Tribolium castaneum: one gene and its partners. The protein of the gene in region 2 purifies or fractionates together with the protein of the main gene of each other region. This does not show direct contact. Links are inferred from orthologs where the notes say so. Each region holds a gene or a part of one and is shown on either strand. Other genes may lie near its edges.

Region 1 (3,974 bases), on a different chromosome or scaffold from region 2:
TGTATTTTTTGCAAAAGAAAGAAACTTGCTTCAGAGACCAAGGAAACCGTGGTATTAAGGGATTAGGTTATTTTTTATCATTCGGAAATAAAGTGTAATGCAGAAAATGCGATTTTCCTTAAAACCTAATAATTTTAAAGTATTTATTTAATCTTAAAATACAGTCTTCCTATAGCTACACGAAAAAATATAAGACTTTGCTGCAATAGAGCCATATATAATATAAACAACCTAAATCTGACCAACATATAGATTCTTTCAAATATGATTTGATAACGTCATTAAAAAAATATTCTTTCACTCAATGATAAACATAATTGAACAATTTAGGCAGTTTATGGCACTGTCGGCCTTAATAATACCTGGAGATTCAACTTAAATAGCATTTGATTCATCTCAACTATCCCAGACTTAATTGTTTTTCTAATCTCAACTTTAGCGTCATTTTCTCTTCCCGAATATCGGCCAGTTCTTGACTCAACTCTTGACAAATCCTCAACAGCACCGTATTCTCCTCCTGCAACATTTGAAACAACTCCCACTTGGCTTTCTCGTCTTGCCCGCCTTCTTGATTCTTGGCCGGTTTTCGATAAACCTCAAACGCCCCGTGTTTTCTTGGCAATTCAGTAAACCTCGCAAAAATCTTCTTTCTCTCCGCTTCATACAAATCACCCGGAAAAATCCCCTCGTCCACATTTTCATACTTCTCGAAACTATCAAAGTTGGCAAAGGCGTCCCCTTCCGACTTCTGATTGGTCAGCTTCTTCGATTGGATATTGGGACTGACTCTGGGCGGGATCGTGGGCGGGGCTCCCAACTTGCTCAACCGGTTCAAATCAAGCGACGAGCTCCGACCGTGGCTTTTGAACGGTCTGGGCGGAGGCGGGGGCGGTTTTTCCTTCTTAGGCGGGGGAAAAACCGGGAGACTGACCGGCCCTTCATCCCCCGTTTGCGTGGTGGGGGGCGGAGGGATCGCCCCAGGGCCCGGTATGCTGATTTTTTTCGGCTGCGGCCGCTGGATGGCGCTATTATCGGTGAATTTCTTCGGACTGTGCGCTTCCGCATTGTCGACGGAGTCTTCGCCCGGGGGCGCCATGGGGCACTCTGGCGTGATTCGAAGCGGGACTGGGTGTAAGATTTTCGAGTCTTTATCGAGTGTGATTTTCTGGAAATCGAAGTTGACGGGTTTGGGGCCGGGGGAACTAACGGAGCTGGTGGGGCTGTCGACGAATTTCGTCCACTCTTTGGCGGTGTCTTTCGTTTGGGGGGAGAGCATGGGCTCGGTCTCGGGGCTCACGGACAGGGGCGTTTCGTTGCCGGGGATGAGGGTGGGCGGCAGGACGTCGGGGAGTTCGATGTGGTTGCGGCGCAAGACGACTAGATGCATCGCAGTGTTGAACTCCTGGAGGCTGAGGGCGCCGTCTTTGGTCACGTCGGCCAGCTGCCAGATTTTGCGGAGCTCGTGGACTGGAAGGCGCGATTTTTCGAAAAACATGCGGGCGACGGGACCGGCGAGTAAGGCGTTGGTGTCGGGCTGGAGGGAGCGGAATTGTTTCGTGTAGTAGTCGCGCTGTTCGGGGTTGATCGTCCAGATCTCGGGGCTCACTTCCGTGTCCTCCTCGCTGCTGTGCCGATCGCTCGACTCCTCCTCCGTCCCTAAACAAGGGAAATAAAAAAAATATTGCTAATAGTGTAAGACCTTTGTAGAAAAAAACTCACAATTATCTGCGTAATGAATTAAATGAAAATTGATAAAACAACAACTTGTATCACTGGATGTAGAACATACTCAAAAGCAATCAAATTTACGACTTTCCGAGTCGTTAATTCTTTAATTATGTTTCCGAATTGTTTGTTTATTGACCAAAAATAATGTGTACCACGCGTTGAAATATGTCGCAAGCGTCACTACATTAATTAAACAAAATTTATTAAGAGCCACCATTTTTGGAAAAGTGAACGTAATGTCAACAATTTCAAAATGAATTGATGAATGCAAATGCCGTCACACGACGCATTAATAACTCAATAGCTAGTCAATTCGGCGACACCTGCCTGTTTACTAAACAAAAATCCGTTGATTTATTGTTTTAACGAAACAATGCTTCATTATTTCATTCCACGACTCACCCAAGAGCTGTCTTTGTTCTTCGGAGACCAGCCCCTGCCAGGCCCCCCCGATGGCCCAGCTCCTGTCCTGCACACTATTCGTGGGCGTGGGGCTATCAGAGGCGGTGCTGGAAATTTCGGGCGACCCATTCCTAACTATACTAAGCGTATCACTATCGACTTCCGAGTCGGTGCTGTTCGCATCGACTTGTTCAACATAATTGGCATCGTTTCTCAGTTCGATTAAATCAGGAACTTGTGAATCACTCTCCAAATTATTCCAAGTAAACCTGGGCAAAGGCAACTCCAAATTGGAAGTGACTACGTCGGCATTTAACGGCATGTTGGCCTGATAGGCGGCGACTAATTTCAAAGCGGAAAAAAATTGCTTCCTAGACAAACTGGTCGTGGTTTGGCCCCAACAGATCTCTGAAATCTGACAGGAGAAATGTCAGAATGTGAGGTTAGAGAGTGAGAAAACCACTCACTTGGGATATGATGTCTTCGGGCACGTTGCCCGACTTGATTAATTCGACGGTTTTGGTCAAGGAGGCGCTCCCGGATTTTTCCTCGTCACAACAAAGAAAAACGTCGGAAAAATATCGTTGTAAAGTTTCTGACAGCTGTAACTCCTCCATTTTTGACAGCTGATGGAGCCAGGCAGGTAGACCAACCTTCGCCTTATCACTCGGGAATGTCTCCAACATAAATAATTCACCAAAAAAGTATTTAGATAATGAGGAAGAGATAAGAGACACAATAGACCAGATTACAACCATCAGTGTATAACAAATTTATGTAAAAAATGTACTGCTTAAATAAATGGCTCCAATTTCGGAAATTTTTGCCTGTGTTCTCGGTACCAACTGTGCCAGAAAGTAGCGACACTAGCGACCAAAGTGACCTAACATTTATGAATTTTCAAAAACAAATGTTCAAAAATCTAAACTATTTATAATAATGTTTGGTCTTATGTGGAAATTCTTATTCATCTGTGTTATGTTTTTTTGTCACAATTTTTCTTTTAATTTAATTGCATTATAATAAAATTGTTTGGGCGCATATTTTTTTTGCAGTCCCCGCGGGCCTACAGCAGGAAAACACCTCGCTGAGATAATAATAGTCGTTTTTCACCGTCAATTTCATAACCCGACCGCTCGGAGCGGTGCATGGACTAGATTTTTATATTAATTTATTTGCCGTCGTCGATTTAATTTAAAAGAAAAAATGCCAGAGTCGACTCGTTAAAGGCAAGTTCTGTCAGTTCTTGTCGAAAGTTCTTCGCGGACGGTTTCAGAACAACAAAAATAAGTGACCCTAAGAGGAAACCTGACCCTAACCGAGACAAAAGCGCGCTTATTTATCATTTAGGTCAGGGCCGTACTTGCGATTATGATTTTTCATTTACCTTGATCTTAACAAATGTTAGGTGTGCTGTAAGTGGTAATTGGTTTTGTGATTTTGTCGTGTCGGTAAGAAATATGAACGAGAGCGACATGCAACTGGCTAGGGCCCTTGTGGCCGATGAAAAACTCAATTCGGCTAATAGCACGCCGGGGACGAGTCCGACGCCGCTGAAGAAGACGGTGGTGGGTAAAGCTATGGAAAAACTCAACACTTTTCGGTAATTATTGTTGAATTCAAAATTTTAATAACTTGTGGTTGTTGCGGAAAGATTTTGGAGGACTAGGACTGAGGGGGCTTGTTAAGTACAAGCCCGGGTAGCTCAGTCGGTAGAGCATTGGACTTTTAATCCAAGGGTCCAGGGTTCAAGTCCCTGCTCGGGCGGCCAAATTTTTTTCTTTTTTCTAGTCGTGTATTTTTACAATATTTACTAATTTTTCCCGAAATAGTATTTATATCCG
Region 2 (4,002 bases):
GATTAGGTACTTGGAACCAACCTGGTGATTCTAGAAAGACGGTTGAAAGAGGGACTGCCAGAAGTTCCGGTCACCGCATGCTTTCCATTTTTTAACTTTGAGTTTGAGTATAACTCAAACAAAATAAGTATTCGTTCCTCGTATGCGTGACAGTTAACGCTACCACACGCTTTTTATTTCTAGCGCAAATGCTGGAGTTAATGAATTTATTCTTTACTTAATTTCCAAACTGCATAATAATTAATTGGGAGCCCAAGAGTCCTGATTATCAGTGATTGTTTTTTCTCAGTCAAGTATTCGTGATTCGTTTTTACCTACTTACCTCATCTTCTAATAAGAATAAATAATGAAACAAAAAAAATCAACTTCGTCGAATGTAAACACAAGGTATGTTCTAATCCGATTTTTTTTGGTTTTGCGACAAATGAGACACCAACTTATTCGCTACAATTTATTTCCAAGCTTATGTAACATTACACTTCACAAATATACATGGTTATACCTCATCTACAGATAACACAGTGAAATTGTTTCACATAAAATTATTGAGAGCATACTTTTGCATAACACTTCTATTCCAACATCAAGCTTGCCTTGAGTATTTGAGAGCAAGAAATAATATTCGATCCGACATGATGTAAACCATCGATAAAAAAAGCAACTAACTACTAAATTAGATAACACAAAATAAACATAATTGAAATAAAATGTTGTTCCTCAAAATTTAGCATCGAGTTTCGTAAAGTCCGCTCCTTCCGATATACCGCACCCATTTAATAACATCATGATCCGAGTAATTCAATTTCGGCTCGAAAACCTTCAAGTATCGTACTTTAAAACCGGACGGTGCGAACGGTACTTCGAAATTCATAGAAATCGGCGGTCTTGTCCACTTCTTCTTCGTGTCGGTCTCCAGAAGCTCGATTTCGGCCGATAATTGCGTCTCCTTCATTCCAGCCATACGTTTGATCCTTGGGGAAAAACAGAATACAAATAAGTGAATCAATCGATTGTCACTAACTTACTTCCAAACAATCGCATTTTCCGATGCTTTGTATTTCGCCTTTCCTTTCAAACAAATCAATTGAACTCCCGAAGTGTTCAACGGAGTTGGAATTTTAACTTCGATTTTTTGCCCAAGAAGCGACGGCTTGAAGTTGCTTTTCAGCACCACCTTGACCTCCATTTTGGTGCGACCGACTTCACGCACGAGGGGAATTACCCGAAATGGCAACGATATGTCTTTAGTTGTACGATATCTCATCAATTCGAATTCACCGTCAGGTGGAATAAAGCTAATGGAATGTTCGGTTTCGAATTTACTTAATTTCACGCATTGGTGGAACTGGCAATCGTCAATTACAACGACTGGTTTGCCAGACCGGGTCTGATCGGAATCAGACGTCGACCCTAAGCCCCCTTTGCCTTTGGCTTCCATCACAATCTTGTCGTTAATCCCGAACTTGCATTCGGGCATTCCCGACAAATACGACTTCATCACGACTTTACCGGCCACGTGGGCCGAAAGAACCTGGCCTAAAGTTTTTTATGAAAACAAATTCAGGAAAAAAAATTATAAAACCTTGAGGCGACATAAGTAGGTTAACATATTCCAAAACATCCAAAAACAACTCGTTTCGACGATACTTGATACCCTCACGCCTCCAACCAATCTGACCAGTAACCTGTGACGTAATCTGAGCTTGTTCTTCCTTAGTGGCCGATTTGATCCCTTGTTGGGTTATGAACGTTTTCAAAACGCCGGTATCGGTGTTTTGAGGGTAACCAAAGTCCAGGATTTCTACAATTTTCATGTAATGACCAAATCAATGCAACTGAACGATTTTACCGTCTAGTAATTCATAAATAAGAACGAAATTATTTTTAATATTCTCTTCAGAGATTTTCCCAAAATACGACTGCATGACTTCGATAATCTTCAACAAGAACTCAAAAACCATGGCGGCGTTGACATTTTGCTTTGTTACGGCGGCAATCCAAATATTAGCCCTCTGGAAATCAAAAAACACAATTTCGACCGAGACTAGACTCATTTGATACAATTTTGTGCAAAATTCGCAAAACAAGCAACAAAAAGGTTGTGAAAAAGTTGAAATCGCACCAGTTTTTGTCCAATTTTCAAAACCAAAATGTACCTTAATGTGGAAAAAGGACGTTCGTGCTATGTTTGTGACCGGAGAGCGGACTTGTTGTCGGGCATGTATAACATTAACCCGAAACGCATCGACCGCATTTCTGCCGATATCATCCCTGTAAACTCGGGAAATGAGGACTTCGCCCTTGTGGTTGTACACGAACAACCCCCCGATCATTCTGCCGGCTCAGCTCTCGCCTAATGACCTAAAACCAGGTGTAATCACTACAAATGCAGTTTTATTCACGCCGACTGAAATCGGCCAAAAATTGGACAGTTTGAGGGAAAACTGGTTATTTACCGAATTGTGAAGTCATTAGAGGCTTTTTACGCACACACTTTTGTGATTTAACGGAATTATTAGTTAAAGCCGAACGGTTTTTATTTTACTTGGCCATCATACACCCACTGACAACTTGTCACTGCGATAATCCAAAGAGTGTTTGGTTTCATAATGCGCTCGATAACGCTTCCATGTTAGCAAAAACACAAAAATTATTATTATCGCAATTATCTAATATTATTGACTAATGCTTAAAGGTTTCTACAATAAAATCGCAATTTTTTTTTGAAAAAAAGTCGTCTTTTGACTAAATTTAAATAGTGACTTTCGCTTTGTCTCCAGGAATTTGATTTGACAGCGTCCCAATGACATTTGTTTTTGTTTAACCTTGGAATTTGAGATTGAAAATTAAAAGTTTGCAGAAAAACAAGTGTGGTGTCTTCCGAACTCGCGTTATCACTTCCATGTATCAATTTTAAGTAATTAGGTTAGTGTAAAACCATGTCTGATCAACTGTCCTCACTTGAGGAAAATCGCCCTGAGACTCCCCCAGTTCGGGAAGATTTGGTAAGTTGTTTAGGTTAAATTGCCCCATTTATCGATTGCTAACTGTAGGTGAACACGGCTATAAAATTCCTGGAGAACCCCAACGTGCTCAAAACATCGCTAGGAGAACAACAAAGGTTTTTGAAACGGAAGGGTTTAACCGATGAGGAGATCAGACAGGCGTGCGAGAAATCGGGGGCTTACAAATACCACGAACAAAGAAATCGGACGCCGCCTCTGCCCCCAAGTTCCCTAATTCCGTACCCAAACAGTGCAACGGTCCAAATTAGTTTATTTGATAAGGTTAAAGAAGTTGTACATAATGTGGCCATTTTTAGTTTCGTAGCGTACGTCGTGTACAAATTTTACATGGTGCGTGTTTCCCGTGGTTAAAAGCCGCTATACCATTTTTTGCAGAAATTTATAGCGCCGTTTTTCTTCGGGAAAAAGAAGAAAAGTGTAGAGGAGTCGATAGATGAATTAGACAAGAGTTTTAAGCAATCTGTGAATGACTTAAAAAACAATTTACTTAGTGTCAAAGTAGAAGTAGATAAAATTAGTCAAGGGGCTGAGAGCAGCACGCAGCGGCAATTATCAGACTTGAAATCTGAAATTGCGACAGTCAAAGGCCTGCTCCTGAGCCGGAATCAATTTCCGCCGGTTTCCAAAAGCTCAGTAGTCCGTCCGTCGATACCTGCGTGGCAGAAGACTAGCATAAGTCAGGACTCCGACCCCGACTCAGACCCTGAGAGAAAAGCCGAGGAACTGATGGAAGTTGGGTCAGGATCAGGGTCTTCGGAACATGAACATGCAGCAAAAAATAGTGATTCTAGTCTAGATATAATGCAAGTGGTTTGATTTTTTCCGGACGGGTTTTATTGATTTTATTGCAGATCTTTCTCATCCAAAGATAGTGATTTTAGAAGACACAAATCCAAAGATGTTGACGATGATGACGACGACGATAAAGATTAATCTTCCAAAAACGAGGCCATTTAAAGTAGGAAACACTTGGTTA
Region 3 (4,065 bases), about 6.5 Mb from region 2:
AACAATAAATTTTAAAAAATCACTAAATTTGTTAAGAAATACTATTATAATAATAATAAGTGAAGCGTGCATCTTTAGTGAGATTTCGCTAAACCCAAACGAAAAAATATCTAAATGAGATAATGGCATAACTTTTGCTTTTTTCCTGAGTTTGAATATTTTTCTCTACAAGAACAGCAATTATTTCATGAAAATAAAGCGAGACATTGCGTTACTTCTTGGTTTCTTCAAACGTTGACTTGTGTTCTGTCCATGTGACCATAAAAAAATATTTAAATTGAATTAACAAAAACACAGTTTAAAAACCTGACTAACCAAATGTTTAAACGTTTAAAACTTTTAAAAACTTCAGAAAAATTTGTGTTGTTTTTTCAAAACACCTTTAATACCTAATACGCTGTCTGTACCTTTGCAGTAATTATCTGATTGTGTTTTTGTTAATTACGGTTTATGCTTTTTCGCACAATTTGTTCAGTTTTATTATTCACTTAATCACTTGTCAGTTGTTGTTCCAAATCAGTTGTATAAAATCAGATTTTAAAAAAAATCAATCATTTTATTTAATACCACTTTTTCGCATCGAGATCTAAAGGCAAATTTTAAACGAAAAAATTATTTTGGTAAGAGGATTAAGAATTGTTTTGGACGTTACAGCAGTTATTATTATTGTATGTTTTTTTCGTAAAATAATTCTAAACAGAGCCGAAAATTGAGTACTTTATTGCGTTGAACATGACATTCAGTGTTGGTGTCTTCTACGTTTCGTCGAAAATACGAGGAAACCGCCAGTTGGATCGGTTACTATTTTATCTATTTAAACGATGTTTTAACACTAATGTAGCGCATCCTTTTACAACTGGTTAAACTGATAAGATTAACATATTTTACATATTCAACCGCATTTGCATTATGTATTTTTTTAATTTCATTTAACGAATGATTTGAATTGAATAAATGCACTGTTTATTGGGATAAACAATCATTGCGAGAAGTTTTAATCATGTACAGAACTTATAAGGCAGACAGTGGAGAAAGATTGACCTCATTTACCGACAATATTTTATAGTGACCCGATATAAAAAAAATGTCAATCGAAACAAAAATCAATGATAAATCGTTTCTTCTTTATCATTTGAGAACCAACTTTCGTCTGTTTAATTTTTGCTTTATTATTATTATTATTTTTATTTTTATTATTTATTATTTAATGACTTACTTTTTTGAAGTGGTTTAAGGTGTCTGGGCTATTCTCGCACATTTCCGTAATGAGCGTAACCCCCGTGATTAGCACACCTGAAAAAATTAATCAAAAACCCAACTTTGAGTAAAAAAAAGCGCACCATGGTTTTTCTCAGATAGTAGACTCCTGGTGGCTGGTAAAAATATCTCCATGAGTTCAGGCACACGTTTAATAATTCGGAAAGCGCACAGAGCTGCTTTTTTCCTAATATAAGCGTTAGGCGACTTCATTAGCCGCTCCACTTCCCCCGCAAGATCACGTGCCATTTCTGGCGAAGCAATCGCCCCTAACGTGCACAGCGCCAACCCCACAACAAACTGAGTCGTGGAATTCAGGTCACTGAAAACAAATCATTACCCCGTTTCCCAAACCAGAAAAAACCCACTTTTTGAGACAGTTCGTGATCAGCAAATGCACGTCCTGCCGCTCGTCCAGGAGCAGCATCGCCCCCAAGTACCCAATCCGCTTATCCGTAAACCGCGAACTCGCGATCAGCTTCAGGCACTCCAGCTGCCCGAAATGGGCCGGGTAGCCCAGCATGTGGATGTAGAGCAGCTTGGCGATGTTGCGACACCGCCACACGGAGTCCTCCTCGCGGAACGTCGACCTGATGTAGGCGCACTCCTTGTTCACGACGCTGCGCTCCTCGGCGGCCGTCCTAGCCGCCCGGATTTGCCTGATCAGGTCCCGCAGCCGCATGGGGGTGGGCATTCGCACTGAAACGAGACGTTAGGGGGGCGCAGCCAATTTGGGGCAGTTACCTCGCTCGATGGCCTCGTTGACCGCCTGCTTGATTGTGGCCATGTTAAAGGCCGGATTGAACCTGAAACGAGTGGCTTAGGCACGGTTCGGCCAACGTGGGGGTTGTTATTTACCCGTGCTCTGAGGCATTCATCTTTAGCACAGCGACACACAAAACGTTAATCGAGGAGCAAACAACACATAAACATGGGGCGTTTTCGGGGAAAACGCACGTTCAGGGGAGTTATTTACAATGTTCACCTGTAATTTTCACACCTCACTTTCTTTGACAGATGCCGGGAAATTGGGAAAATGGGCGCAAAACGAACCGATTTCGCACTCACCGCTAACACAAACTCGGTCTAAATTAAAAAAGCGATTTAAGAACGGTTTTTTCGGTGTTAGACCATCTCACTGCAACTTTTTTGACAAGTAGACATTTGCAATATGGCCGGCTTGTGACGTCACACCTGTCGACGTCTCAAATAACCCTAATAAAGGATTTAAGACTCAAATTAACTGATTCATTAAAACGGAATTTAATTAATCATTTATTGGTGTTTTCCCCGTGTGACTGCGTCGGTACATGACGACACAAAACAGAAATGCCCCCACAATGACAAGCGGTACGGCCCCACAAAAGCTGCTCATTTTTCCAAAAAACGGAAGCTTTTACCTTCGGTTCAACTCTGGGGGTAAAACGCTCCACTCGCTCTCGTAGTACGGGTACATTTCGCCCCACGCCTTGACCAGTACCGTAAACACCTGCTAAGAGAGTGATAACTAGAGATAAGACCCCGCACAGTTATTTTATCTATTTATTAGGTTTGTTGATTTACAGATTAGGAATAGTGTCGTAAAAATCAATTTTCTTCGTGGTTGCGTGCCGGTCGTATGAAACTGTTGCGCTTGATGCAGTCCACCAGCCACTTAATGCCCTCGTCGACGCCGTCGCTGCAAAAACAACTGCACTCAGGTCGCAAAAACGCGCTTTTTACCCCGTCAAGGCAGAGATGGGCATCACCATGCAGTCGCGCTTGCCTATCAAATGGGCGTTCTTGTTAAATATGGGCTTAACCTCCCGCACTCCCATGCACTCAGGGATATCCTGCTTATTTGCCAAAACGAGCAACGGAACGCCACGCAGGTTCTCATTGGCTATCATCTTATCTGAAACGCCATAATCACAAAAGAAGGGCTAAGTTGCCACGCACCGAAAGTTTCCTTCGAGTCGTCGATCCTGTCCCTGTCCGACGAGTCCACGATGTAAATAATCGCGTGCGACTCTGCGTAATACTAAAACCAGCCCCAATCAGTCTATAACTAGCCCCCAACTCACTTTGTCCCACAGCGACTGGAGCTCGCTCTGGCCGCCCAAGTCCCAGAAGTTCAGTCTTATGCCGGCAATCTCGATTTTACCAATGTTTAGGCCCACGGTCGTGGTTATTTTGCTGGGGTGAATCCCCGTGTAATTTTTCGTAAGTTTGGTTTTTGCCGCCTCCAGGTAAGTCTAGAATTGGGCGTTAGGTTGGCAGCACTTCGGGGCATATTTACCGTTTTTCCGGCGTTGTCGAGGCCGAGGATCAGGACACAATACTCGTCTTTTTGCACCAGGTATTTGTAAAAGCCGTGCAAAAGGGTGTACATGGTTTCTGGTTGCAATTAAGCCCATTAATGAGCAAATCAAAACAAAACCGTCGCCATTTTGACACCTTGCATTGTTGTGACAGGGGCGCCAACTGCAGTTTGAATGTTGGGTCACCTAACAATAGGGGCAAGATGACCCATGGCTATTTATAGAAATTACAATAAAATTGATGTATTGGAGCGATTTTCATGCAATGAGGCTGATTTCTGACCTTAGCGATGCACTCCCTTGTCATGTCTTGCTGATTTAGGGCTCGGGCTGCGATTAATTTCACTTTAAGTGGGTCCGCTCCTGTCCCATTCTTCGCGTAGCTGTTCGCTTGAAACTTACCATGGCTTGTGGCAGCTTAAATTGCTAATTTTCTGTGTTATTTGTTCGTGATGGCTTCACTCAAAGTGAAAGAATTGTTGTGTTTGCTGTACTCAGCCTTGTTATT
Region 4 (4,088 bases), on a different chromosome or scaffold from region 2:
AAATTCTCCTTGACTTCCTTTGACTGGGAAAAGAGGGAAGGGAAGACAGAAAAACATAAAAAAATAGTAAATAAAAAAAGACCGGAATGACAACAGCAGTGGGATTTGAGAAAGAAGATGAAGGAAGGAAGAGTAGAGAATAGCGATATGCAAACCAAGAATACAAAAAAATAAGAAAAAAGATTCTATAACCTATGTTCAAAAATGCTCTCTGATTTACTTTGACTGAGAGAACCGGGAAAGGAGGACAGTAAATAGAAAAAAAAATAAAAAAGACAGGAGGAATAACAGAAGTGGGAATTAAAAAAGAAGAGGGAAGGAAGAGGAAGGAAGAAAGGGTAGAGAACAACAATACGCAAACCAAGAACATAAGATATAAGAAAAAAGTTTCTACAGACCTATGCCCAGAAATGATTCCTGAATTTCTTTGGCTGAGAGAACATAGAAAGAAAGAGGGTAAATAGAGAAAAAAATAAGTAAAAAAGACAGGAGGGATAACAGAAATGGGATTTAACAAAGATGAGAGAAGGAAGAGCCGACTACAGCGATACATAAACCAAGAACAGGAAAGATAAAAGTCTGATAGAGAATTGAACATGGAAATATAAAGAAAAAATTAAAAAGATCAACAAAAAATAAGTGAGGGTAGGAAGTAACCTATAGACGAAAGAAAAGAGAAAAACAGCAAATCAGAAGAAAAAACCCGTTTTTGTATAAAATAGTGCGTCGTACAGATAATAACAAAAACAACATTTTGTAAAGAAAATTACCCAATAAATCTAAAGCTGCCACAAAAATTTACAAAAAGTTTCTTCCAAAACAAAATTTTACGCCTCTTGAAAAAGGACCCTTGTCCGCAATCTTCAGGAGGCTTTACCCCTCTCAAGAATATTTCAGTTCTTAACAAAAAATGGCAATAACGTATTTGTATTCTTTGGAATAATATAAAGCACAAATTCAGAGTTTCTGTATAAGAAAAGAATTCTCTGTTAAACAGAATCCCAACAACAAATTTAAAGCTAAAAGAATTCGAAGAGAAAAATAATTTTGATAATAACATTTGTTGCTTAAGATTAGAAACAGTCTATTTGTTTTTTTTTCCTTTTCTTTTTTCTCATTTTCACATAAAGAATCTCCATAGCATCATCCTCCATAGTATAATAATTTTAATTTAATTTTTTAATCAGACTCGTCAAATCTTGAAGTTTTCTTTTCTCGATATTTTTTATTTAATTTTCATATTTTATGTATTCGTTAATTATATTTAAAATTTTTACCTTTTGAAATACATATTAATAATTACTCGTATTACTCGTAAGTTAAAATCAATCCATTATTTTTTTCGACTATTCTTACCCTTTATACGCTGCGCAATGAGTTGGCGTTTTCCCCGAATCATCCACAGCGTTTAAATCCACCCCAGCTTGCAGTAACTTCCTGCAACACTCTACATAACCGGCCAAACAGCACATATGAAGGGGCTGCCTCCCTTCGTAGCCCCTCTGTGAGGGATTAGCCCCATAAGACAACAATGTATTGGTCAACAAATCGTGCCCATACCTCGCCGCAATATGCAAGGGGGTACAATCATTCTTATCGGGACAATCAATCGTCGCCCCCTTGTCAATCAAAATCTTACTCCTCGTAAACCTCCCATGTATTGCCGTCATATGTAGCGGAGTCCTACCATCGAGACTCTGCCTATTAATATCAACCTTTTGCGTCAATAACAACATCATGCAATCAACCCCATTCGTGCTAACCGCAGCGATATGCAGGGGCGTCTGCCCCCGATAATTCACCGCTTCGATATCAGCCCCCGAGTTGATCAACTCCTGGCAGACCAAATGGTGTCCGTTGAGACACGCAATATGCAAGGGGGTGTTCCCGAAGACATTCTGCGCGTTCACGTCAGCCCCGTGACTGATCAAAAGGCGGCACACGGCGTCTGTGCCCCCGGCCGCCGCCACATGCAAGGGGGTGTACTGGTTCCTGTCTTTAGCGTTAATCTCAGCTTTGTATTTTAACAACAGCTCGATTATGCTCAAGCTGCCCACCTGCACCGCCCGGTGCAGGGGGCGGCAGTCCTTCTTGTCGTACGCGTTGACAATACAGCCCCCCGAAATGAGGAGTTCCACGCAATCGGCCATTTCGCTGTAGGCGGCGAGGTGCAGGGCCGTGCGCCCCCCTCTGTCGGTGACGTTGGGGTTGGGCACGTGGTTGAGCAACTGCTCGATGCATTTGTACGCCCCGTTGGCCGCCGCCACGTGCAGGGGCGTCTGCCAGAGCTTGTCTCGCGCGTTGACGTCGGCGTTATTGTTCAACAGAATGGACACTGTCTCGCTTGAGCGGATGTAGCAGGCTTGGTGGAGCGGCGTCAGCCACTTGGTGTCTTTCGCGTTGACTCGGGCCCCGTTCGAGAGCAAGACGGAGGCGATTGCGGCGTCGCCGGTGAACGCGGCCGCGTGCAGAGGAGTGCGCTTTTTGCTATCAAGGCAGTTTACGTCCTGTTTCGATTTAATCAGTTCTTTGTATTTCTCGGGCTCGCAGCCCGCGAAGATGGCCTTGACGATGGGGGGCTGACAACATGGTTAACATAACCTCACTTGGGGGGACTTCGCTTACCTGTTCCTCCAACTGGTACAGTCCCATTGTTAGTTACTTGCAACTTAAGGCGAAACATGAAATAAGGGGGAAGTGGTTAAACCATTGCGGAATAAATTAAAATTATCTACGTAAACTTAAATGTCAAAATAATGTCAGACGTCAAATGGTTGGTGGGACTGTACTGGGGTAAAATATTAACAAATTAATTAATTTTTCTGCAATTATTGTTTAAATTAAACTGCTTGCTTAATGTGGTTTTGTTCCAAAAATTTCATCAAACAGTAACAAGTTGGTCGATTAAAAGTAACCACCACTTTTTAGTTTTTTTTTTAGAATAATGTCCAATATTCATTCAAAATTCATTAGTGGTTTAGATTTTCCATCAGTTGGGCCTTTTTAAATACCTCAGATAATTAAAACATTCACAAACATTCAAATTGTTTAGTGTTTTTTGCAACTTGCACTGTCATGTTGGTACGTGATATTGTAATCATCCGCCGATTGTGCGCCGCGTCTGTTTTGTGATTCTAGAAAAATTTGAATTCAAAAGTTGTGTAAGAGATTTAGGTTTGTTTTTAAAGCGTTAATAATCGCTGTTAGTTTGTGTGTGAATAATTATTATTGACTATTGTGGCAGTGTAAGTGAATATGACCATAATATGACCGTCTCCTGGAAATTTGAAGACGCCAGGATGCCGAACATGTTACAACAATCCTCAGGTAAATGTCCTGTATATTTTTATTTGTTAATTAACGAAACTTTAAACCTAAACACTTGACCGGCTCAAAATGCGAAATAAAAAACGTAAAACTTTCAATTTTGTGGCGTACTACTTGTCAGCGCGCAATATCGTCGTAAGTTTTATTTTACCAATTAATTACTCGCGAAATAATCGTGTACAACTCTAATTACAAACACACAATACAGTTTTATTTTCGCTGTAATGGTATCTGAAAATCCAGCTATATAAACATATATTGCATCCTTTGCTTCAATTTTGTAAAAGCATGATCAAAGCATGGCCAACTAATCAAATGTAAGTTAGCGGTGGCAAAAGATGGCTTTGAAATCAAGAAAAACAGTGTGGCCAACATGAAGCTGAACAAAACAAATCTTAATGTTAACTTCAAATTATGAAAAAATTAAAGTCGACAAAATGAGCACTTTACTAATAGAAAACGGTTCAGTAAAAAAATTGTGCAAACTCAATATCTCCAAAACTATAAATTGTGGAAGAAAAATGATGACATATTTGGAATCCTCAGACAATTTTACGCCAAAAAGGCGCACTTTTGATATTGTCCTCTTGTTGATTTTTTTATTGGGATATCATATTGACTTAGTTTTATTGAGATTATTATAGTACCAAAAATAGATAATTAACGAGGTACTAAGTACTTTCAATTAATTTAATTTATTACCACACATTTGTAACATTTTTTATTTGTATCAAAAATTAATAACAAAATACAGTACTACG

Evidence for each region. Proteins that work in one complex are often made in the same cells at the same time.
Region 1: the proteins of AP-2mu (region 2) and Reps purify together in Homo sapiens (affinity purification with mass spectrometry; 3 studies listed by BioGRID and IntAct, counting the BioPlex papers as one, with this or other methods). This does not show direct contact. The link is inferred for Tribolium castaneum from reciprocal best matches to the Homo sapiens genes AP2M1 and REPS1.
Region 3: the proteins of AP-2mu (region 2) and AP-1gamma purify together in Homo sapiens (affinity purification with mass spectrometry; 3 studies listed by BioGRID and IntAct, counting the BioPlex papers as one, with this or other methods). This does not show direct contact. The link is inferred for Tribolium castaneum from reciprocal best matches to the Homo sapiens genes AP2M1 and AP1G1.
Region 4: the proteins of AP-2mu (region 2) and serine/threonine-protein phosphatase 6 regulatory ankyrin repeat subunit A purify together in Homo sapiens (affinity purification with mass spectrometry; 3 studies listed by BioGRID and IntAct, counting the BioPlex papers as one, with this or other methods). This does not show direct contact. The link is inferred for Tribolium castaneum from reciprocal best matches to the Homo sapiens genes AP2M1 and ANKRD28.

What each region holds. Positions count from the first base shown.
Region 1 is NC_087399.1:2,782,916-2,786,889, reverse strand, and holds Reps (ralBP1-associated Eps domain-containing protein 1), read right to left. Parts: upstream 2,801-3,974; 5' UTR 2,748-2,800; coding exon 2,598-2,747; intron 2,546-2,597; coding exon 2,131-2,545; intron 1,657-2,130; coding exon 401-1,656; 3' UTR 130-400; downstream 1-129. UniProt on the Homo sapiens protein: May coordinate the cellular actions of activated EGF receptors and Ral-GTPases.
Region 2 is NC_087395.1:22,141,200-22,145,201, forward strand, and holds AP-2mu (AP-2 complex subunit mu), read right to left. Parts: upstream 2,557-4,002; 5' UTR 2,457-2,556; intron 2,362-2,456; 5' UTR 2,334-2,361; coding exon 2,157-2,333; intron 2,013-2,156; coding exon 1,850-2,012; intron 1,802-1,849; coding exon 1,583-1,801; intron 1,537-1,582; coding exon 1,026-1,536; intron 972-1,025; coding exon 725-971; 3' UTR 501-724; downstream 1-500. Other genes in the region: peroxisomal membrane protein PEX14, read left to right, coding at 2,940-3,005, 3,054-3,356, 3,402-3,829, 3,878-3,959.
Region 3 is NC_087395.1:15,676,440-15,680,504, forward strand, and holds the start of AP-1gamma (AP-1 complex subunit gamma-1), read right to left. Parts: upstream 2,801-4,065; 5' UTR 2,714-2,800; coding exon 2,658-2,713; intron 2,640-2,657; exon of another isoform or gene 2,136-2,639; coding exon of another isoform or gene 2,116-2,135; intron 2,064-2,115; coding exon 2,002-2,063; intron 1,957-2,001; coding exon 1,626-1,956; intron 1,580-1,625; coding exon 1,341-1,579; intron 1,294-1,340; coding exon 1,217-1,293; intron 1-1,216. Other genes in the region: Arfrp1 (ADP-ribosylation factor-related protein 1), read right to left, coding at 2,845-2,935, 2,980-3,151, 3,196-3,277, 3,321-3,491, 3,536-3,628; leukocyte surface antigen CD53, read left to right, coding at 4,010-4,065. UniProt on the Homo sapiens protein: Subunit of clathrin-associated adaptor protein complex 1 that plays a role in protein sorting in the late-Golgi/trans-Golgi network (TGN) and/or endosomes.
Region 4 is NC_087401.1:12,715,591-12,719,678, forward strand, and holds the start of serine/threonine-protein phosphatase 6 regulatory ankyrin repeat subunit A, read right to left. Parts: upstream 2,801-4,088; 5' UTR 2,653-2,800; coding exon 2,626-2,652; intron 2,580-2,625; coding exon 1,357-2,579; intron 1-1,356. Other genes in the region: spindle assembly abnormal protein 6 homolog, read right to left, coding at 4,084-4,088. UniProt on the Homo sapiens protein: Regulatory subunit of protein phosphatase 6 (PP6) that may be involved in the recognition of phosphoprotein substrates. Involved in the PP6-mediated dephosphorylation of NFKBIE opposing its degradation in response to TNF-alpha.